Linked DNA regions of Lytechinus pictus. The protein of the gene in region 2 interacts with the protein of the main gene of each other region in a biochemical or structural test. Links are inferred from orthologs where the notes say so. Each region holds a gene or a part of one and is shown on either strand. Other genes may lie near its edges.

What was found.
Region 1: of the proteins of DDB1- and CUL4-associated factor 1-like (region 2) and uracil-DNA glycosylase-like, one has a biochemical effect on the other in vitro, tested with the Homo sapiens proteins (2 studies listed by BioGRID, with this or other methods). The link is inferred for Lytechinus pictus from reciprocal best matches to the Homo sapiens genes DCAF1 and UNG.
Region 3: the proteins of DDB1- and CUL4-associated factor 1-like (region 2) and merlin-like form a complex in vitro, tested with the Homo sapiens proteins (3 studies listed by BioGRID, with this or other methods). The link is inferred for Lytechinus pictus from reciprocal best matches to the Homo sapiens genes DCAF1 and NF2.

Annotation. Positions count from the first base shown.
Region 1 is NC_087256.1:25,355,378-25,362,856, forward strand, and holds the start of uracil-DNA glycosylase-like, read right to left. Parts: upstream 3,104-7,479; 5' UTR 2,959-3,103; coding exon 2,878-2,958; intron 2,736-2,877; exon of another isoform or gene 2,579-2,735; intron 1,167-2,578; exon of another isoform or gene 1,083-1,166; intron 196-1,082; exon of another isoform or gene 84-195; coding exon 1-83. UniProt on the Homo sapiens protein: Uracil-DNA glycosylase that hydrolyzes the N-glycosidic bond between uracil and deoxyribose in single- and double-stranded DNA (ssDNA and dsDNA) to release a free uracil residue and form an abasic (apurinic/apyrimidinic; AP) site.
Region 2 is NC_087247.1:55,106,133-55,114,221, forward strand, and holds the start of DDB1- and CUL4-associated factor 1-like, read left to right. Parts: upstream 1-5,077; 5' UTR 5,078-5,139; intron 5,140-8,089. UniProt on the Homo sapiens protein: Acts both as a substrate recognition component of E3 ubiquitin-protein ligase complexes and as an atypical serine/threonine-protein kinase, playing key roles in various processes such as cell cycle, telomerase regulation and histone modification.
Region 3 is NC_087246.1:17,162,999-17,171,065, reverse strand, and holds the start of merlin-like, read left to right. Parts: upstream 1-4,985; 5' UTR 4,986-5,536; coding exon 5,537-5,617; intron 5,618-7,900; coding exon 7,901-8,029; intron 8,030-8,067. UniProt on the Homo sapiens protein: Probable regulator of the Hippo/SWH (Sav/Wts/Hpo) signaling pathway, a signaling pathway that plays a pivotal role in tumor suppression by restricting proliferation and promoting apoptosis.

The DNA.
Region 1 (7,479 bases), on a different chromosome or scaffold from region 2:
TCCTCCATCCGTTGCTTCTGCTCAGGACTCAGTCCAGAAGGCTTGCCATTATTCGCATCTTTGGCTTTTTTGGGTGATGGGCTCTGAATTGAAAGACATCAAGATCACAAAGGCTGTTACGATTCAAAATTACAATAACTGTTTGATGAAAGCTCCCGATTTCATGGTCTTTGATTGGATGACAGCAAATTTGTGCTAGAAGCTTTGCAAATCTTATTTTATGATAAAGGCCAATAGCATAATCAAGGTTAGACCAAAAGCTTCAGTCTCTGTATTTGGTTGTTCTGCTGAACTGCGTTGGCTCCACTCACCAATAGCAAAATGTTAGAAAATGTTAAACAAATCCCCAGAAACGACGGTTATTCCTGTCTAAATCAAGGTGTGCAAAAATGAATGTGTGACAGGTAATTTTTTTGGAAATATATCATATGGAAATCCCTTTTTGTTGTATAGTAATCATTAATCCTTCTACACTACTACTATAATTACTAAACATGTATAAATTTGTATTCAAAAGTCCCATGCCACAGGCACAGGACATTCTTGTGCGAGGTCTGTATAGTATCACTCACACTATTTATTGCACACTCGATTATTTGACGAATACAAGCCACATTTTGGTATGTATCCAACTTTTCCCTCCTAAAACTCTGAGATATATGACTTGATATAAACCTTCTTCATATTTTTTTCAATTTTACTGGAGGGGACATATATGGAAGTATTGCTGCAATGTTTATACAGCGGGGTGGAAAATAGAGATTTGGTTGTTTTGCCTTTGGTAAAAAGTTCGTTTGCCATCTTGCACTGATTACATTCCATAATCATGATAATGGTTAGTTTTAGTTGCCGGTTTTTCTAGTTCAGGCCAGCTGTGTTTGGAATGTGGTATTGAAGGAATTAGTATTTTTCGGGCCTCGATGGATTTGGAAGAGTTGAATTGAATACTGAATTAGAATTCATGGGTTCGTAACGCGAAGCAAGCCGGATCCCAGGAGTTGACTGTGCAAAACGAGGGAGACACGGGACTGGGGTCTCAATATAATCTTCATAAAATGTGGAAACAGAAATTATGCACTTACCACGATTACCGTATATCAAGTATCGTGACAGTACTGACACACACAGTCAGACGGCAGGTCCCAAGAAAGTGGCTTCTTTCATCCAAGTGATATTCATGACTTGAGATGTTTTGCATATTTAATGAGCCTGATGCGGACCAAAACACCTCTTTTCATTCGGTCATTGCTGCTTTAATTGTGCATCGAATTTCATGAATTTGGTGTTATTGTAAAGAAGAAGAATCATTCTTTCAGGTCATGTGTTTGAATTTATTCAAAGATTTTGTAATATAGGTTAAAATATTGATCTAAAATATGCTACAAAATAATTATTTTCACCTGACAAAAGCTGCTATTTTCACACTTTATTTTTGTTTGAGCCCAAATGATTTTCAGATCATGATAAAGCTGAATATGTATGCTTTAAAATGATATAGATTTCAAAATAAGAATTGGTTTAATCGGGTCAAGATCACACTTTTCATTTGCCAAGTACATAAAGCAGCTTGAAAACAAGAATACTGCACTCTGATTGGTCAGAGACCACACAGTGGCAAATTCCAACGGTTCCAGTGCCTGTGTTCATGGGAAGGTCACACTTCCCATGTGGTAATCTCCTCAAATACCCCGCGCCTGTTGTTCTGTGAACCTTATCCAGCCAATCAGAACTCTGGATTTCATGCAAGTACAAAATTTCAGAAATCTCGTCTTGTACCTTGGTGGGAAAAGTGTGATCTTGACCCGATTAAAAGGTGCCGGATATCAAGAGTGGCATTGTGAGAAAGTACTGAAGTTCAGCTTTATGGTGATATAGATATCATTGAGGCTCAAAATAAAAAGTTTTGCACAATTTGCAAAAGAAAACAGAGGAAGAAAATTCAGTTTTGAGGCACATTTTCAGGCCAGAAATTTACTTATTTAACGAAATATTGTATACAAAATAAATAACCGATATGAAAGAGTAACATTTACTAGCTCTATCTGATGGTGCAATAATATTTCATTTAACTTGAGGTTAAAACAGGTAAATTCTTAATCTTAGAGAAAGAAAATCTCGATTTTGCAAGGAGGAGGATTCAGCCACGAGATGATTTGGATGAATCTGGCCTTTTTGCTCATTAGCATAGCCATAGGGACCTGCGGTCTGACTGCACAAGACACAAATCCTGACATCGAGGCACAGACTGGAAGTTGGAACCTAAAAAAAAATATATAGCCTAGGATTAGGTCTCGATCGGCCTTTTTGTTTTTAATTTTGAAAGGAGAGGTATCGCGACAGTTTTGGTTTTTTGTCTTTTGAGGTTCCAGTCTGTCATTGTCTGTGGCACTGTGCCTCGCCCTCGATGTCCATGATGTCAGGATTTGTGTGTCACGATAGACCTTCATCCATTGTGGACGTGGTAAGTGCATAATTTCTGTTTCAACATTTTATTAAGATTATTATTGAGACCCCAATCTACCGGCTCAGTGTCTCCCTCGTTTTGCACGGTCGACTCCTGGGATCCGGCACGCGAAGCGGGCCGGAGCTCCCTGCCCTGGGTTAATCAACCAGGCACTGGCACTGCTGAGCTCGAGCCGAGGTACATGTACCTCGAGCGAAGTTCGTGCAGGCTCCACTCCACTTCACTACCGCTACACTACGCTTCACCTACCCGGGTAGGTGAAGCGTAGTGTAGCGGTAGTGAAGTGGAGTGGAGCCTGCACGAACTTCGCTCGAGGTAAGGTACTTGTAGCCCTCAGCAAATCGGAAGCAGCAGTAGCTCATTTTCCTGCCTGAGAATGCAAATGAAATACGGTATAAATCAATTTACAATACCTGTGTGTTTTCTACACTTGAAAGTGGTCTTTTGACCTGTTTTGGGCTGAAGAAAGCCGATATCTTTGACTGTCCAATCATTTTTGCGACTCAATTCACGTTTCACCTCTTTTCCCGCACACGTGCAACTCCTCTTGTTTTTATTATTCAATTTTGCGCGCCAAGGCCGGCCACGTCCACATGCACATATACATTTGAGTGATTTGACGTATGCGCCCAGTCCTTTGCTGTACCGGTAGATTTTTTTAATCGGACGGCTCAGACGGCCGCTGTCAAGACAAAAGTAGAAATATGATTACATACTAGTACATAACAATTCATACACAATGAATGATCCTATGACAACACCCGAAAAGTTACGTATTCATATTATTTATTTATTTATTCATTCATTTAATTATTCATTCACTTATTGACTGATTAATCTAGATTTATTTCATTATTTATTTTGTATTCTATAAGTTAAATCAGCTACCTTCATGATCTTTATTTTTACGTTTGTTTTTGTATTAATTGATTGTTCAATTAATAAACCAATTAATTGATTCGTTGTATTTATATTTTTACCACAAACTACAACAAAAAAAGTAAGTCCCCCCCCCTAAATAAAAATGCTATAACTTTTGAACGGAATAATTTTGAGATATAATATACAGTATATATATATTAGAAGAGCTGTTGGAAAACAATCGCATGCAGCCAAGATTACATTACATTTCTAACCCTGCAGATGAATAACCCCAGGCCCACCACAAATTCTTCTCGCTCGCTCGATCTTCTCGCTTGTACTGTGTTACAGCCCAACACCAAGCCAAAAAAGTCTACATCGAACTTGATTTAACGTTCACCCCAATGTTTTGTCACCCCCCCCTTCTCGCCACCCCCGATTGCTTTTCCTATTCAAATTCAAATTCGATCTTATATTTCCAAGAAGAACAAAAAACATAATACAAATTATACATTTATAAGTATATACATTCTATTATACAAATAAATTGATAGTTAACATAAAGAAATTTACATAACATGTAGGAATTGTTTTGGTAAATAATTTATAATAAATAAAATTCAGGATTTCAACGTAAATATTGTTCACAGAATTGTCAATTTTGTTATTCATGTTCACCGTAGGCCTATTATAGGGGTGGTAATCTGATAGCCATGGTTTAATTAAACCTGGGTTAACTCCATAGAGATTTGGTTAACTCAGACCACACATTTATGGAGTGCCACCTGTCAAACTCATAAAAGTTATTCCCAATCTTCTGTTAAAAGTTGTTAAAAATTGAGTGAAATTGAAAGAAATAAGAAAATACGAAAATATGAATTTTAATGCATTAATTTATACATTATACTGCTATACGAATATGGAAGAATTGTTCGAAGCCTGCATGCATTCCATAGAAGAGTGTGGTTAAACAAAAAATAGACTAGGGTTAATCCTTGGTTTAATTTATCAGAATGCTACCCTAGAAAGTTTGAAATTGAGTGAGGTAACCTTGACAACTACCATCGACCATCCTCCCAGGAAATTCCTTTACTGATGACAGGATCCCTCAACAAACCAGTGGCCCTTTTCACAAAACCAAATTTGCAATAACATGTTTAAAGCTACTGAAATCCTTCAATCTGATTGGCTGATAGTAAACTGCGCGTGTTTGTTGTTATAACAAGTCTTTATGAAACGGGTCCCTGGATGGAAATGACATTGGACAAATTTTCCGGAGAATAACGGTGCTTTATTTTTTATTCGATGAGTGATCTCATCTTTGGATTGTTTTGCGCCCGTTTATTTTTGTTTTGTCAGAATATAGTCAGGCTTTTGGTCCTTTTCCGATACGAACGAATTTGCTGGCGTGTCTGAAAAGCTGACATTGCGAAATCATGCTGTTGATAGGGCAGGCATATTATTCTGATCAGTTATGCAGCTTCAGTTTCTTCCATTATGTAGGTCACATAGGCCCTTGATTATGTTGTGGGTTGTTGGTTTCGAAAATAATTACTACATGGTTTTGTTGAGATTGTCAATTGTAAACTTTCTCTCTCTCTCACTTGACACCCCAGAACTTCGGCGAAACTTTATCAATTATTTTCGTTATTTGCATAATATTACTGGGGATCACACCCGATGGTCCCTAGCTGGACGTGTCCACTCACAGTGCACGCAATGAGCCAACAATTTTGAGGGAATCAAGACAAACATGGTGCATGGGCAAAATTATCAAAGTTCCGAGCGAGCCAAGCAAGCGAGCATTTTGACATTTTAATACAAAACGCAAATTTTGTGATATATTTTGGCAAAATACTCAGAAAATGATCAAATTTCGCGCATTTCCTTTTCGTCCTTTTTCCTTGTTTTTATTAGTTTTTAACTTAATTTTCTCTCTCTCTTTTTTTTTTTTGGGGGGGGGTCCATATATGGCCCCAAACCCCTCCCCTTACGGAAAATTATGTACTTCAACAACGACCTCTAGGAATAACAGAGCCATTATGTTAATGGCTCTTAATAGAGAAACTGTAATCCATCCTTATATTTTTAAGGTGTTTTTTTTATATATTTAATCTTAAAATTAATTTGTACGATGTATTTTGTTGTGATTTTTATACGGCAAATAAAACTAAACAAAGACGACGAAGAGAGGAAAACCCTGCACAACATCGAGATTTAGACCCTTAGCCCCCCCCCCTCTTTGATATGCTCATCACTTATGTACCATCATTTACAAAGATCGAAAGTTTGACCCCTATTCCTACAAAGGGGAAGTTCACCCTCACAAAAAGTTTATTGTAAAAATAGCAGACAAAATGATACAAAAATATTGATGGAGGTTTAAGAAAAATCATGTACAAATATTAGAATTTAATTTTTTTGATTTGTTACGTCACATGAACAATGAAAGGTAATTTTCTGAAAATAATCAAATGAGTTTAATTGTACCTGTACTATATCAACAGACAAATTATTTCACACCCGCCCTGAAATATAAAAGATTTTAGTCATCATGAACCATTAAAGGTCAAGTCCACCTCAGAAAAATGTTGATTTAAACAATAGAGAAAGATCTAACTAGCATAATGCTGAAAATGTCATCAAAATCGGATGTAAAATAAAGAAGTTTTGACATTTTAAAGTTTCGCTTATTTTTCACAGAACATGCACAACTCAATGACATGCAAATGAGAGAGTCGATGATGTCCCTCACTCACTATTTCTTTTGTTTTTTATTGTTTGAAATGTAGAATATTTCAATTTTTACAGATTTGACAATAAGGACCAACTTGACTGAACCATAAAATGTTAATGGGATGGCATTTCCACGTGTTCAGGGAGGAATTAAACTTCGTTTCAAGGACAATGAGGAGACTGAATGGGAATAAATCATGATTTCATAAAATGAAATACAAAAGAAATAGTGAGTGAGTGATGTCATCAGTCCCCTCATTTGCATACCCACCTGGTGGGTGTTTCATAAAGCTGTTCGTAAGATACGAATGACTTTACGCACGACTGGTGATCCTTTCTTGTGCTGTGTGATATCCCTATGTAATTGTTTATGACCTAAGAACATGTTCCAGTCGTGCGTAAAGTCATGCGTAACTTTACGAACAGCTTTATGAAACACCCACCAGGATGTGCCCAGAACTTTGTGAAATTAAGCGAAACTTTAAAATGTCATAATTTTCTTATTTTACATCCGATTTTGATGAAATTTTCAGTGTTATGCTTGTTGGATTTTTTCTCTTTTTATTCCAATCAAATTTTCGTTGGGGTGGACTTGTCCTTTAAAATCTATGCATTTTGATATTACCAAACATAATTATTGGGCAGCTGCTTGTATCGTACATCACAGATAAAAAAATTAAAATTCCAAAAAACTTTCTTAATCTTTTATGGATTTTCCTCAAACCTTCACGCCACTGGCGGATTCAGGGGGGGGGGGGGGCACAGCCAGCCCCCGCCTCCCTTTTGATGAGAGGCTCAATTAAAATTTGTAATGTAAAAATGCCATTAAAACGGAAGTGTGCCCCCCCCCCCTTGAAAGTGAAGACCTTTTTTTTTGCTCGTCAAATTATTCCTCGGGTAAATGTGCCCCCCCTTTCGAAAAATCCTGGATCCGCCCCTGCTATGCTTCACCAGTATTTATAATGATTTTTTTTTGGCAATCTATACAATAAACTTTTCGTCAGTGTGAGCTCCCCCTTCAAATAAATCCTAGATCCGCCCCTTTTGGCAAGACGATTAGCAGATTAGCATGGAATGCGCATCAAGGAAACGCAATAGATTGGTTTGACTAACAGCTGTTCCCTCACTGTCATAACTGCAACAAATACATCCTTGACCAACGCCTTGACCGTCATCACAATCCCGGACCCGTTAACACAAAGCGTAGTGATTGATCGTAAGGCTGATTACTACAATTGATCACTCACACTTATCAATGCAATCGATCGTAGAAATCAGCTTTACGATCAATCGTTAAGCTTTATGTAACGGGGCACTGAACTAGAATTGTGGTTGTCGCTATACACACACACACCCTTCATGGGGGGGGGGGGGGGGGGGGTAGAGCACGAGTAAACATGTGAGTCATTATCTTAACG
Region 2 (8,089 bases):
GTACAACACTGAAAATTTCATCAAAATGGGATGTAAACTAAAAAGGTTATGACATTTCAAAGTTTCGCTTAATTTCACAAAGCAGTTATATGCACATTCTGGTCGGTATGCAAATGAGGAGACTGATGACGTCATCCACTCACTATTTCTTTTGTTATATGAAATATTCTAATTTTCTCATTGTCAAGTGGAACAACAATTAAATCCTTCCTGAACATGTGGAATTAGCATTGTTGAATATGCTATATATGGTTCAGTCAAGCTGGTCCTTATTGTCGAATATGTAAAAAAAAAATGAAATATTGTATTATTCAAACAATAAAAAACAAAATACATAGTGAGTGAGGGACATCATCGACAGTCTCATTTGCATGTCACTGAATTGTGCATATCACTATATTGTGAAAATAAGCGAAACTTTAAAATGTCATAACTTTCTTATTTTACATTCAATTTCGATTAAATTTTCTGTGTTCTGCTAGTTGGATTTTTCTCTATTTATTAAGATAAAACATTTTCTGGGGTGGACTTTACCTTTAAAGTTGAATTAAGAAGGGGGTGAGTTTCCATAAATATAGGTTCTACACACAATATATAGTATATATAAGTTGTTCAAACAGATAGCATGTCACAAAAATCCTCTGCCTTCTCGATATTTTGCTTTGAAAGTCTATGAAATTAGCCACCTGTCAGAGCCCGAGAGACGAGTGTACAGAAAAGCCACTCGGAGTGTGACGTCACCGGGTGAATTTAGTATAAGAGGTGCCTGAATGTCATACAGAAATGCTATGCAGAGAGAGAAAGATATTTTACAATTTTTTTTCAAAGCAACTCAAATCAAACAAATAGGACTGATATGTACAAATCTTTACTTTCCCTGTATAAAAAACAGTATGAATAACCATCATGAACTCTTCAATCATGATGTAAGATAGCAAACAGTGAGTTATTGAATGATATTTTCACTATTTCTCATTTATTTTATCACGATGTTCAATCAAGTGAATAGCTGGAAAGTAATTCCGGCGGCTAGCTCAGCTCTCGCTCAGCGCGCGCTGATTGCAGAATACTAGTACACACAACACCCAGGCATTGAGTGTACTCAGGGAAGCTGGTGTACTGTTATGGTCTGGTATGTCGACTTAGTTCATGGCCGTGCAGCGATCCCCTGGCGTTTTTTCTTCTTTTCTTTTGTCTTTGACTCCACTTTTATATCCTCTGGATCATTTCCACTCATAGCTCAGTTCCACAGAACAATCTTGAACCAAACGTATTATTCTTTCTCGGCCTTCTGAGTTGTTTTCTATATTTAATTACGCTAGGGGTCACCGTCACACATACAAACGCAATTCGCAAGTGAGTTGAAGACAGAGGGATATTATAGTAATTAGTATACGTACATATCTATGGTTGAAGAAAACAAGAAAGGTATGCGGTACGGTAGCTAGCTCGACAGCTAGCTGCGCCGGAGCGGGCGGCCGGTTAGTCCAGATTGGACCTTGTTGTTTGGAAGTGCTTTTTCCCAAAGCTAACATAGAGGGCACATGTCTCCCAATCTCTAATCAGCGCCAATCCACTCATCTTCCCTCCCCAACAAATTTGGAATAATAGTACGGCCACAAATATTTTAATCATTTCCTCTTTGCAAGTTCTATGGCTCGCAGATACAACTTCAACTGCAGTTATTCCATATGAAGGCGTACGTGCATAGTACACAAAGCGGCACTGCCTTGTTTACTACACCGGGACCGAATACCCCCCGGTGACGTCACAGTCAAAGAACACCCGTCTCGGTAGGCATTGCAGGAGCGAACTCAGGGAAAATGGGTAGGGATAAATCGTTCAAATTCACTATTTTGAAAAAAGAAAATGGGGGGTCGAATCACCTCTTAGTGTTTGGGGGGTTGTAAGGTTGCTATTAATGTAAATATCTCAATATTTGGAATCGTCTTCTTAATTCAACTTTAAGAACGACTGGTGAACATTTCATGATGAATATCATTTACCACAAGAAAGATTTTTATAACACAACAACATCTCTTTCATCAAGTGTATGCAGCGTAATGCTAATATTATTTACTAGATTTACCATTGAAATTTGCAAAAGGCCTTGTTTTGTCGCTACGCTCACTCGCATACAAGTAATGGGAATATCCATATTAAGGGGTATGGCACTGGCGTAAGTCTGTGACGTCATGCTATTCAAGTGGGGGGGGGGGGGGGGTGAACAATAGATCACCCCCTTCCCCTGAACAATTTAATTATAGGTTCACCTCACGGATTTACGCCAGTGGATATGGCATGCAGGTAACTCATCTACGGCTGTGCAATGGTAGGTGGGGGAAAAGGCTCGGTCGCAATGCTCCCTCGCACGAATACAAAATTGTACTCTGCATTACACATACAGGTTTAAAGTGCCAATTTATACAATGAGTGACCAATATCTAGCATATGCTTGGGCGCAAAACGCTTCCTCTCATCATGGACATATGAAGAGATGGACATTCATCGCTTAGATAATGAATTCACTAACAGGTGACTGTAAATGTCATCTGAATAACATTCTCTTCATACTATAGCAACCATTGTTTTCATTGTGCAATTTTTGCCACTTTCCTAAAGAACGAGATAGGATACGGTCATACTTAACTATCACAATAGTCTGTAATTACAGGTATGTCTTCTTCATTTATATCATTATTATTTTAATTGAATTAATTATTTATTATTCATTAATTTATTTATCTGTTCATTCATTAATGTGTCATTATGGAATATATTCAACTTGGTGATAATTCATTGATGTGCAAAACAAACTTGGATGTTGTATCTCCTTATATTTTTCAGACGCTTCTGATGAAGTCTCAATTAAAAGACGAAAGCTAAAGCAAATAATGGTGTCCTGCGTCATCTGTTGAGTTGGCCTCGCCTCATCTCATTATGTTTAATATTCACAACTCAACAGCGATTGGTAGAAGTAAACTTATCATCACACACACTATATATATATATATATGCCTATGTGTGAGTGTGTGGGTGAGTCTGTTTGTTTTGTGTGATCGAGCGCCTTTGGAACGTTGGTTCATGATTTTGCCCCCCCCCCCAATCTGAAAAATTGATCGACGCCCCTGTCCCCACTTGTTCTTTTGTATTTTATTATATGAAATTAGGTTTATTCAAAAATTTTCTACCACGAACTAGAACAATTGGATTGACAACTGATTAAAGTGTTTAGTTATGTACTGCCGCAACTTATTTCATCATAATGGAGACACATCATTTACACATGCACGAAAAAATGAAACATTTATGATATCATGTAATAACATAAGAAAAAGGAAAGTGGGGATGTGACATCATTAGCCCACCTAATGAATATTCATGACGATGTGCATATAACTGTTTTCACAAAATATTGATAAACTTTAAAATTCAATAACTTTGTTATTTGTTATCCCGCCGATTTTGATGAAATTTTCACCACTTCGCTTTGTGAATTTTACTCTATTTTTAAATATAAATATTTCAGCCCGGACCATCCCTTTAAGAGATGGCAAAATGGAACGGGAATTTATGGAGGGCCTAGGGGGGGGGGGCAAAAGAAACGGGATATTGGGTAGAATGGATTGAGTGAAAATGCTGACATAAAATCTGAATCGAAAAAAAAAAAAAAAAAATTAAGAACACGACCGGGTTGCCGAGGATGAAAAATAAAGAACGGGAAGAAAGAATCAGATGGCGTATTATGTGCAAAAAATAGCTTGATATTTTCATGCAATAACGGTCGCAATTAATCAGGACAAAAAATTACTGAACTTTGAGAGGTTCCGGAGGTACCGCCCGAGCATTGCCGATGTCCCTAGCCGAGGGATAGACACGCACTTCCAATTAAATAATTAGATTTTTATTTCATAAGGCCATAAATATCCTTACTCGCTTCGCTCGCTCAGGATATTTTTTAATTTTTCCCACATTATACCCAATAATGTACCCCCTCAAAAGGTTTGGTTTATAATGCCACTACGATGAAGTAATGTGGTTTGCAAAACAAATCCCTGATCCGATTGAAAGTGGCCATCTTTCACGATTAAAATGGCTGAATTTGGTAAGGTTTTTGGGGCTCCGTGCATCCGCCCGGCAAGCCCCACCCACATAGCACTGATGTACAAATTAATAAAAGGCTTTAGGGGCTTGTGGCCTAATTGTGGCCCCAAAAGATTCTACGACCAAGAACAAAAAAGAAAAGAAGGAATTAAGGACCGGAAAAGTGGAAGATGTAATGTTTTCATTGGTATATCATGTCAAAATACTTAATTAAGATTGCAACGAAAAGGAACTTTTAAGAAACTTGCCACATGCCCCTTGCTGTGCCCCCTCATTTGTCGCTTTACACTCTTGCATAGAGCTAGCTTCGCACCAACGACCACAACAAAATCCTGTTCACCAGTGGCATATACAGATGGGGGGGGGGGGGGGGGGGCGCCCCAAAAAAGTAATGACAGCAAAAGAAAAAGGGAAGCTCAGAAAGAAAAGGAAAGAATGAAGGTGAAATATGATATCATATATTCTGAATAACGTAATTACTGTCAAAATCTATCACAAATTGAAATTTGATTTTTGATAAACATAACATTTTACCCACTCGCTCTTCGCTCTCTCTCAATTAAAAAAAATATGCGATACATCTAGCCCCTTCAAATTTTTTGGCTCATTTACGCCTTTGATTATGACTGGGAAAATATTTGCTCTTCAAGACGATTTACTTTTCATTTTTTCCCCTTGCAGATTAGTGCTCTTTGGGGGCTCTTAATTTGTTGTGTTGTTTTTTCAACAAAGTAGATTGAAGATTGAGAAACTTGCTTGACTCACCATCCCGGTAAACCCACTTTTTATTGTGTTTGCGCCCCAGGGTTTGTGCCGTGCGTTTTAGGGGTTTTGGTTATAGCAGTTGACAGATTGATCAATCAATTTCGACAGTATACACCGGCCGTATAAGCTTCGATTTCGATATTTCAACAATACGCAACTAACTGCAAGTTTAAGTCCAACATCACTATTACACGTGCGCGTTACCGTATGTGAGACTAGTACTTCGACCTGGCTGAAACTTTACCGAAAAAACATAATATTCTGGATTCGGTATTGTATAATTTCTTTCATTTTCGATAGGTTTTCATTCTATGAGAAATATAGTTAGTAATTATTGATATGTATTGTTGTATTTTTTGCGTGTTTTTCAAGTTATTTCATGGGACTTGCAGCTTGGGAGTGATGCGGATGGTACGGTGTGATCCCAGCTATTTGTATCCGTGTTGTGTTATTTTTGCTTGGTGTGCAACTGCAAAGTGCAAGCTCAAGACTAACCCAGGGGGCTCCCGCCCGCGAAATTATTTTTCCCACCGAGTTCTGGACCGACATATGAATATTCATGACTTGCGTCTTCGGATTGAGAGTACGCATGCGCGTGGACTTGGCCTCGACCAGTGCCGATCGTAAGCATTCACGTTGCTCAGAATGAGTTGGCATCGTCAAATTACTCTTATAGGCTTAGATCTATATATATATATATATATATATATATATCCAATTCTTAAACACTTAATAAACTAGCTGCCATTAATGGCAAGACATATGTGCTAGGGTAGGGCTAGCTTAGGCTAGCGCATTAACTTTACCTCAAATCTGGACCTGTCTAATGCCTAATAGTAATACTAATAGGAATAGCCGACTAATGCCATGGTTAACTTCGAACTTGTTAATTCCGAACTTTACGTTTGATTAGGTTTGGATCAATATTAGCTTATTTGCCATGGTTTAATATGTCTAGTCCGTATACAGAACCAGTCCTAGATCTAAAATAAATATCTTAGTTCTAGTCTAGTCTCTAGATCTAGACTCTGATCTACGCGCTATCAGCATGGAACCACTAGTGTACCAAAGGGGGGGGGGGGCAGACTGCCCCCCTGACGAGTCACAACTGATCCAGGGGACATGCCCCCCCCCCATTGAGAAGCCAAATTAATAATTTGTAATGTCAAAATGCAACGAAAAAAGACGTATGTCCCCTCTTTTGAACGTGAAAATCTTTTTTTTTTCTTGTCAAATTTTTTTCAGCTACGAAATCCTTAATTTTGGGTGAAGACGGGGATCAAGATCACTGACGTTAATTTGTGCCTGACGTTAGAATACGTTCCATGCACGCACTGGTGTACCTAGGATTTTCCAAAAGGGGGGCAATTTTTTTAGAGGGTATTTCGTCCGCGAAAAAATGTGACAAGCCCCCCCCCAAAAAAAAAAAGGGTATTCACCCCAAATTATGGATTTCTTAGCTGAAAAAAAAATTGACAAGCAAAAAAAAAAAAAAAAAGATCTTCACGTTAAAAAAAGGGGACATACGTCTTTTTCATTGCATTTTTACATTACAATTTATTAATATGGCTTCTCAAAGGGGGCACGTCCCCTGAATCAGTTGTGACTCGTCAGAGGGACAGTCTTCCCCCCACCCTTGGTACACTACTGGTTCCATGCTGATACAGCGTAGATCAGAGTCTAGATATAGAGACTAGACTAGAACTATATAAGATATTTTTTTTTTAGATCTAGGACTGGTTTTGTATACGGACTAGACATATTAAACCATGGCAAATAAGCTAATATTTGTCTAAACCTAATTAAACGTGAAGTTCGGAATTAACCAGTTCGAAGTTAACCATGGCATTAGTCGGCTATTCCTATTAGTATTAGGCATTAGACAGGTCCAGATTTGAGGTAAAGTTAATGCGCTAGCCTAAGCTAGCCCTACCCTAGCACATGTCTTGCCATTAATGGCAGCTAGTTTATTAAGTGTTTAAGAATTGGATATATATATATATATATATATAGATCTAAGCCTATAAGAGTAATTTGACGATGCTAATTCATTCTGAGCAACGTGAATGCTTACGATCGGCACTGGTCGAGGCCAAGTCCACGCGCATGCGTACTCTCAATCCGAAGACGCAAGTCATGAATATTCATATGTCGGTCCAGAACTCGGTGGGAAAAATAATTTCGCCTCCCGCCCGCTGCGCGGGCGGGAGCCCAGGAGCTTACCGTGTATTTGACCTTAGTCACCGGACTAGGGTGATTTATGGTCTAAATATTTCTCCAAATGAATTGTGAAAACAGAAAGTATACAATAACCACGATTATATGGATGAAGGTCTAACGAGTGGCAGTTTCCTGACATCTGGGCACAAACTGGAACCTCAAAAAACCGAAAAGTTCTCTCCTTCTAGTTCTACCCCCGTCTCGATCAGCCATTTTTGTTAAAAATCGTAACAAAATGGCCGATCGAGACTGGGGTAGAGGAGAGAACTTTTTTTTTTTTTTGAGGTTCCAGATCCAGTCTGTGCCCAGATGTCAGGAAACTGCCACTCGTTAGACCTTCATCCATATAATCGTGGTAATTGTATACTTTCTGTTTTCACAATTCATTTGGAGAAATATTTAGACCATAATTAAATCACCCTAGTCCGGTGACTATGGTCAAATACACGGTAAGCTCCTGGGCTCCCGCCCGCTGCGCGGGCGGGAGCTTCCTGGGTTAGCTCAAGACAAGTTCACCACTCACTGACACAATAGAGTAAAGTACCCAAATATTGGACACTTAAGCATAATTTGACCAAAACAAAAATACAGTCATTGAATCAAATAAAAATCATATGTATTTCTGTGGTAAAAATGTTGAATATTAATTTCATATTATAGATCATAGAACATTTTCCTAGTGTTACTGTTAGCAGTCTCTAGGCACCATGCCTATCAATTCCTGTGTTAAAAAAGTGAGTGCACGCGAATCAAAAGTTGGACTTAAATTACTAGATATTACCATGGAGCTCCATGACGAAATCTATTTTTAAATTAGACCCTCGATACTACTTATGGAAAATAATGTATAAATAAATAAAATAGTACTCGCCTGGTCTATTCTTGGGGTACTGAAGCCTTTTTGTCCAGAACTTGCTCAACTTTTGCGACTAACCTTGTCGCCATAGGGTTGTGTACATCCTCGTGTAATACTAGTTGTCACGTGACACAGCAATGTCGT
Region 3 (8,067 bases), on a different chromosome or scaffold from region 2:
GTCACTGAGTTGTGCATATCACTGTTCTGTGAAAAATAAGCGCAACTTTAAAATGTCATAACTTTCTTATTTTACATCCGATTTTGAGAAAATTTTCAGTGTTACGCTAGTTTGATTTTTCTCTATTTATTGAAATCAACATTTTTCTGGGGTGGACTTGACCTTTAAGTATACAGTTTGTAAAAATGAGCCAAAAAAAATCAGTGAGGGGGCCAGAAATGGCCTATCAGGCAAAATTTATGTAAAGTTGTGAGCGAGCAAAGCGAGCAAGCAAAAATGTCGCCTTATTACAAAAATCTAATTTTGTGATAGATTATGACGTAATACTCAGAAAATAATCACATTTCACCCTTCTTTCTTTAATTTCTTTCCTTTTTTTCTTGGTGTTGAATTATTTTATAATACTTTATTTTATTATTATTATTTTTTTGGTGGGGGGGGGGGCAAACTCCCCAAGGCCCCCCATCTGTCCGCCACTGTTAATAGAACACTCGATGAAGCAACAACGACCCTTATCCAGATTAAAGAGAAAATACAAGAAAAGATAGGCTAGAAGAAAGGGAATTTGCTGAACACCTTAGAAAATGTGACAAATGAGACAGAGTATAGTTAAGATATAAAGAGCTATCAGGCATATCAAAGCATGATAGAGTATGCATATTATAATAGAGGGAGGTAGGGGGAGCAGCCCTGATAAGGTCAAAGGAAGGGAATGGGGTAAGGGTTGACTTGACTTAAATAATGCAGCGTTCAGAATATTATCAATAATTAGTGGGATCAGGACAACTACCCACTGGACAATTACCCCCCGGACAACTACCCCCTGACAATTACCCCCTGAGGACAATTACCCCCAGGACAATTACCCCCGGACAATCATCCCCGGACAATTACCCCCGAGGACAATTTCCACCGAGCACAATGAACCCCCCCCCCCCTTCCCCGAGGACAATAACCCCCTATAGACAAAATGAGTGTACAGAGTCATACGTCGGCCGTACGTTTGACGTAAGAAGTACTCAAGGCATTCTCGAGTATCTTGGAATCAAACGAACGCCGTAAGAAAGCTGTAAAAGTAAGCTCCATCTGCAAATCTTTACGAAACCCAGAATTCGATCATAATTTGTATGTCACCGTAGCATAAGATCATTCGTTTTGGCAATCTTCGCAGTGGCGTAGTATTGACAGAACAAAAAAGGGGGGAAGAAAGAAAAAAGAAGGGGAAAGATAGAAGATAAAAGAAGAAGAAAATGAGAGGAGGAACAGGAGTGAATAATAAGGTGAAGGGAAGACTTTTAATATGTCACTAAGATTTTCGCTCACGCTTCCCGCTCGCATTGCCTTTTCGATGAGATTCATATCTTGCTCAATATAGACTGATATGCTTAAAATATCAAGTTTTGAAGTCAATATACAAAACGTATTTCATCTCAGATATCGAGCTTTCATTATTTTTTTATTTACAAATTGATTTTTTTCAAGTGTGAATGTCAATTGCAGCTCTTTGTGCTGTGCACTCGCATTATTTGATTTGCGAAGTATGCCTACATAATTATTATCTTTATTCATCCAATAAATTCTTTATATATTAATTCTATAATCCCCCTTTTATGACAGTTTATCAAAAATTTCGTCTCGCGATTTGCGCTCTCATTAATAGTTAAAAACATATCAACTCATAAATCCTATTCATGATTGCAAAATTGCTTAAAATATTTAGTTTTCATGCCTCAAATGTCAACAAATTTCACTCACTCATTACGCTTTATTGCATTAATATATATGATATTAACATTTTATGAAGCTAAGAAATGACTGTTAGGACATCGGCGTTTTGCCCCCCCCCCCCCCCCCCAATTTTTCACTACCAAGAAAATGGGGAGAAAGGGAAAGGGATAAGTTTAAAATTTAGGCCTATCATTTTTTTAATGTTATGTCAAAATCTATCGCAAACTTTGATTTTTGTAATTAAAATGTCAAAATTTTGGCTCGCTCGCTTTGCTCGCAACTTCTCATTAATTTTTACGCGATATGCCGTATCAAACCCCCTCAATTTTTTCGCTCATACGCTACTTAGACAACCCCTTCGAAGAAATAAACAAAATCAACTTTGAGCCGCCTTTGAGTGGCCGATCGGGGAAAATATGGGTGAAAACAAATTTCGCCCCCCCCCCCTTTTGGCGGGAGCTGGATCCGCCCTTGCCAATTGTTTCATAATTCTTAGCTTCTTGTTAGTTGAATTGTTTTAAAATAACAGGTATATGGGTCCTATATTTGACAGTGTTAGTGTTGATAGTTGCGTTATCGACTTTCAATATTTTTACCTGAAGGTGTCTTTTTTACGTTATATCTATTTGCCTTATTTCTTTCCTGAAATTAAACCTAAAATAAATGTTTAAAAAATCAGATCAGTTGGAATCAGAGATATTCAGCATTTGTGATTATTATGACTAATCGTGTTCAATGTTCTATGAAAACTTAGTATGGGGGCCAGTTTACAAATTTTCTGATGTATATATGCATAGCCAAACGGGAGGTTTCGGGTGCAAGCCCCCCCCCCCCCCATTTGTCATGATGCAGAAGGCGCCGCTAAACAAAAAAAAGGAAGAAAAAAAGGAAAAAGCAAGGAAAAAAGAAGAAAGTGAGAGAACAGGAGAAAGAGCAATATATTTTTATAAAAGAGAAAGAAAGGGTTATTAACGTAAGATAAAATAGAAAATATTTCGAAAACCTGTGCCACCGACCAAAACTTACATTGGGTCCCGCTTAATTCTAACATTGATGCCGGAGAGAAGGGGGATGGAGATGGAGCTTACTTTTACAGCTTTCTTACGGCGTTCGTTTGATTCCAAGATACTCGAGAATGCCTTGAGTACTTCTTACGTCAAACGTACGGCCGACGTATGACTCTGTGCACTCACTTTGTCTATAGGGGGTTATTGTCCTCGGGGAGGGGGGGGGGGGGTGTTCATTGTTCTCGGTGGAAATTGTCCTCGGGGGTAATTGTCCAGGGGGTAATTGTCCGGGGGGTAATTGTCCTCAGGGGTAATTGTCCGGGGGTAATTGTCCGGGGGGGTAATTGTCCGGGGGTAATTGTCCTAGAACCTCAATTAGTTGATGAGATACGGTATGCAACTCTTTATGTATTTTATTTAACAAAATTTGTGTTATTATGTATCATAAGAATCTTTAGGCAAGCATATACATGTACCAGGGGCGGATCCAGGATTTCCCAAAAGGGGGCCCCTTTTTCAGAGAAAATTTTGATAAGCAAAAAGGGGGGTTCACTTCTGTATGAACGGCATATAAAATATTATGCTTGACCTTTCAAGGGGGCATACGTGTGTAAGAACGGTATATGAACATTAAAAATTTTGATTATTGGCTCTCAAAAGGGGGCCGGGGTGCACGGACCGGATGTGCCCATTCCCCCTTGGATCCGCCACTGACATACCTTTTGTATTTGATGTAATGAATCGAACTAAGTGTTAGATTTTTATTGATCTATCAACAAAGACTTCTACAAAGCAAAAACAAAAATATGCTGAGCAACGGAACCTATTTTTGTGGAGGGGGCATAGCGAAATAGCTAGCCCATTCAATCCCGTCTTTGGGAAGTGATGTTATCGATACGGTCGGGGCCAGTAGTGTACCTAGGATTTTCCAGAGGGGGGGCAAATTCGTCCGCCAAAAATTTGACAAGCAAAAAAAAAGGTCTTCAAGCGCATGTAAAGGACATTTTGTACCAGAAAAAATTGACAAGCAAAAAAAAAAAAAAGGGATACGTCCCTTGCAATGGGTTGTGACTCGTCAGGGGGGGGGGGGCAATCTGCCCCCCCCCCCCATAGGTACGCTAGAGGTCGGGGCCATAAACAGAAAATTCAGTTCCTTGAGGGACTGATCCGCTTAACAACGACAATCATTCATCCCCTTCTCATCTCTGACATAGTGTGTTTTAGACAAATATCAAATGTTCGTTTGGATTCGACACAGTATTTTTGGGGGCCTTTGTTGAAAAGTAATCCGTCGATGACGAAGAAGTTCTGTCCACATTATATAAACAAGCAAATTTTCCATGACCAAGAAATAGAAGAGGCAAGGTAATAAACGAAAGGTGAAATCTGAAATTATATATATTTTAATATTATGCCACTGATCTTTCACAGAATTAGATTTTCATTTTCAAAACTTAGCTCGCTCGCTTCACTCGCTGGACACTTTTTGTAAATTTTGCTCCAGATGCATTCTGCCCCTCATATTTTTCCTCATTACACCACACCCTTGTTATGTTCAGTGATAAGATGAACAAAGGTTTGCTATGAATCGCAAATATGACAGAACCGCACTGATTGGTCCCTGGGGGTCCCTGGGGGTCCCTGGGGGGGGGGGGGCGTTTCATGAAAGGACTTGTCGGACGTTTTATCCGACAAGTCCCATTTTATTCGACAGTTACCATAGTAACAGTACCTCTCAACCAATCAACATCAGAGAAAGATGTCAGATCTGACAACTTGTCGGATGAAAATGTTGATGAAACACTCCCCTGGTCAGTAGGCTATTTTAAACATAGGCTAATGCGCGTGTAAGTGTTTAGAGGTCAAGCTTAGGTGGTGGTGCCGGTGATGATGTTGATGACGATGATGATGATGATGATGATGATGATAAAGATGATGATGATGATGATGATGATGAAGATGATGATGATGATGACGACGACGCCGGTGACGACGATGATGACGATCGATGAAGATGATGATGGTGATTCTGATGATATATTACGAATGATGACGAAAACGATTGACGATGGTATATGGGGGTAATAGAAACTGGAGGAGATTTGAATATTTTAGTTATTTTCAATCTTCCAGCTACACTTCGAGGCTACACTGTTGAAGTCAATTCTCAGAGTCTAGAATTTAGACTAGAAACAAAACAAAAGGGAACGTTTCTGTTGTACTGTATGACCACCTAATGTAAAAATGAGCATTCCTCGGCAGACTGGTGCTTCAACACTATTTTTAGATAGTGATTCAATAATAACAATTCACAACCATGTTACTTTGCGTCAACTTAGTGTGAAAGTACTAGACCAGTCTTGTGTACATTACAAAGTTCGTGAGTGAGCTAAGCCGAAGCCGAAGGGGAACAAGTGGCCGACTAACGTTACACTACTTTCAAGGAAAAAAAATCTGTCGATTTGTTTTGTATGTAATTCAACACACTATTCAGAAGAATATTTCTTAGCTCTTCTATTGTGTTTTGAAAGGAACGATATCATGATTTTCTTGTTTCTCCCTGCCTTCCACCACGATTGACGCTCGCTTCGCAACCGGGGCCTTGCGGTCCGAGTAGCCAAGACACGCATGCACGGAGAAGTGCGTGGAATACCAGTTGCATGAATCATAACACCACCAACAACGAGAGTTAGATGATTGGATGGGCGTGCTCTGGCGAAGGAGCTGGTCCGCTGACATAGATGCAGCAGAATCGCGGATGTGCTATTTGTAGCTGAGTGCTACAACGGAGGTTCATCATCATGTCGCTAATGCGACGATCACAGAAAACTTTTACTGTTAGAGTCCAGACTCTGGATGCCGAATTAGAATTCAGCATTGATGTGAGTTTCACTTTCTGACGTTATCAGACTGAAAAATATTATTGTTTATGTTAATTTAAATAATGGGTAGCCCATTCAACAACATCAACAGTTGATCTCCCGTGGGGCCCTAGTACAATGCAATAACACTTTAACAGATATTTAGACCTATTCGAAATAACATAACATATAGAAACAATGCAATAAAAGCTGAATTGCGAAGACATCAATAATAAACATTGCAAAATTAGAGCGATTATTTCAATGACAATGGTATTGAAACATTCAAACAAATAAATTTAACAAAGTAGCAAGTGCCAACGTGAACCTTAATTGTCAATTGATGTGAGATGTTTTTTAAGATTATATTTAAAGAATTTAAAGATGATAGTTCCCGTATGATGACCGGCAAGTTATTCCACAGTTTCGGACAGGCGTAAAATAAGGAAAGTTTGCAATAATCAGACCGACACCTTGGTACAACAAGATCGTTTCTGACAGACTGCCTTGTAATTTTCTATGGGTTTTTTTTAGATCCTGAAAATAATTTGAGTAGTATTCTGGTGCGAGTCCATGAACACATTTCCAAACAAATATATATAGAAAATAAATGATTCTGTAGGCCTACTGGAAGGCCGTCCAATCTAGATGTGAAAACATTTCTTTTTATATGGGGTGTACAATGTATATGACATCTCAGGATCAAACGGGCTGCTATTTTTAGGAGTTTGGTCATTCGATCCACATGAATCTGAAAACAATTTCCCCATATCTCACAAAAATAAATTATATGTGATTATGAAGGGGGCACGAAGATTTAATTGAGATTAAACATGAATTTCTCTTGACTAAGACCTTAGTCTTTGATAAAGTTTATTCCACAAAAAAATTCAATTGATATATAATGTTAAATGTTCCTTACCTTAATAGATCTATACATTCTTATAAGTACATGTAAGTGTGCCAAAAGTCTCCTAAAAATTGAGAGAAGTAGACTAGATTCTATATGATTTTCTTGTAAAAACCTTGGCCAGTCATTTGCAAATTGATAAAAAACGGTTCCCCATGACTGCGCAACCATTCAATTTACTTATGATTAGCCAGGAGGCTCCTAGAGATTAATTCATTTGCTACATAGGTTTCTGTTTGTTGTAACTCCCGTACTCCGTAGGAACTTGGCAGTAATCTCCACGGAGCCAGGAATGGCATGCCATTTCAGTACACGCACCATCATTTTTCCCCCACGATTAAAGCTCCTCAAAATTACAACTTTTCTTCAGGGTTTTGAGCCCAAACTTATGTAAATTGGCTACAATATCCTGTTAACCCTTTCCGCCCAAATTTTTTTAGTTTTAAAACAAAATTACATGTTGAATTTCCAAAACATTATAAGAAGATGAGCATATTTACTCATAGATGTCATTGTCGCCATCTTGTCTTCTTTTTTATTGTAGCCTAGCTACCAGACATGTCTTGAGGGCGGCAACATCATGAGCGGTGCTTGATAAAAAATGCGTGCATTTGCCGAAATGCGTGCATTTGCCGATCAATATCATGAATTTCACCTCGATGCTAAATCCCGCTTCACCTGGTCGTCTAGCGCATGGGATATTTGGTACTAGGATTGGCCCTTTTATTTTTACGTCCAGTCAGATAAATGTTAGAATCACCCTCCCCCCCCCAAAAAAAAAAAAAAAGTGTTTTACTCACTAAGGTAGAACTTGTCAAATCTTCCAATTTAGATAAGGAAATTCTCATTATTCTTAGAGTTTTTTTTCATGTTTGTCAGTAAAGTGTGTGTGTGAGATTTTACAGACATGTATCCAGGGCCCTGGAAACGATTTTTTATTGGGGGTGCTGATGTAAATTTGACCCCCCAAAAAGGGTTTCACTACAAAATGAAGGTAATTTTCGTTACATTGTTTAACACCTACCAGAATTCCAGGGCGTGCTGCCTATAGTCTATAGAGAATAATACATGCAGCACCCCTGCTTCCCAGGGCCATGCGTGTATCAAAGATTGTGTGTGGAGCCGACCTATAATGCCACCATTCTTAAGACCTGACCAGGACTCAAAACTCTTCATCTGCATATATATCTATAACACACAGTTATAATTGTGTCTGTTGTAGTCATTGCAGAGATCATTCTTATTGATATTAAGTTAGAAGTCTGAACTGAGCCTGACTTGAGGGCAAAAATAGGTAGTAATTTGAAAAACAATTGATGTTCTTTGGCATTAAATTGTCATAAATGTAACAAAATTTCAGCAACGCTGATGTGAAATCAATTTTTCTTTTCTAGGTGAAAACCACTGGACGCCAATTATTTGACTTGGTGTGTCGTACTATAGGATTAAGAGAGACTTGGTATTTTGGACTGCAATATGAGGATTCTAAACGCTATATCGCGTGGCTCAAAATGGACAAGAAGGTGAGAACTACTCGTGATGAATACCAGAATATTGCTAA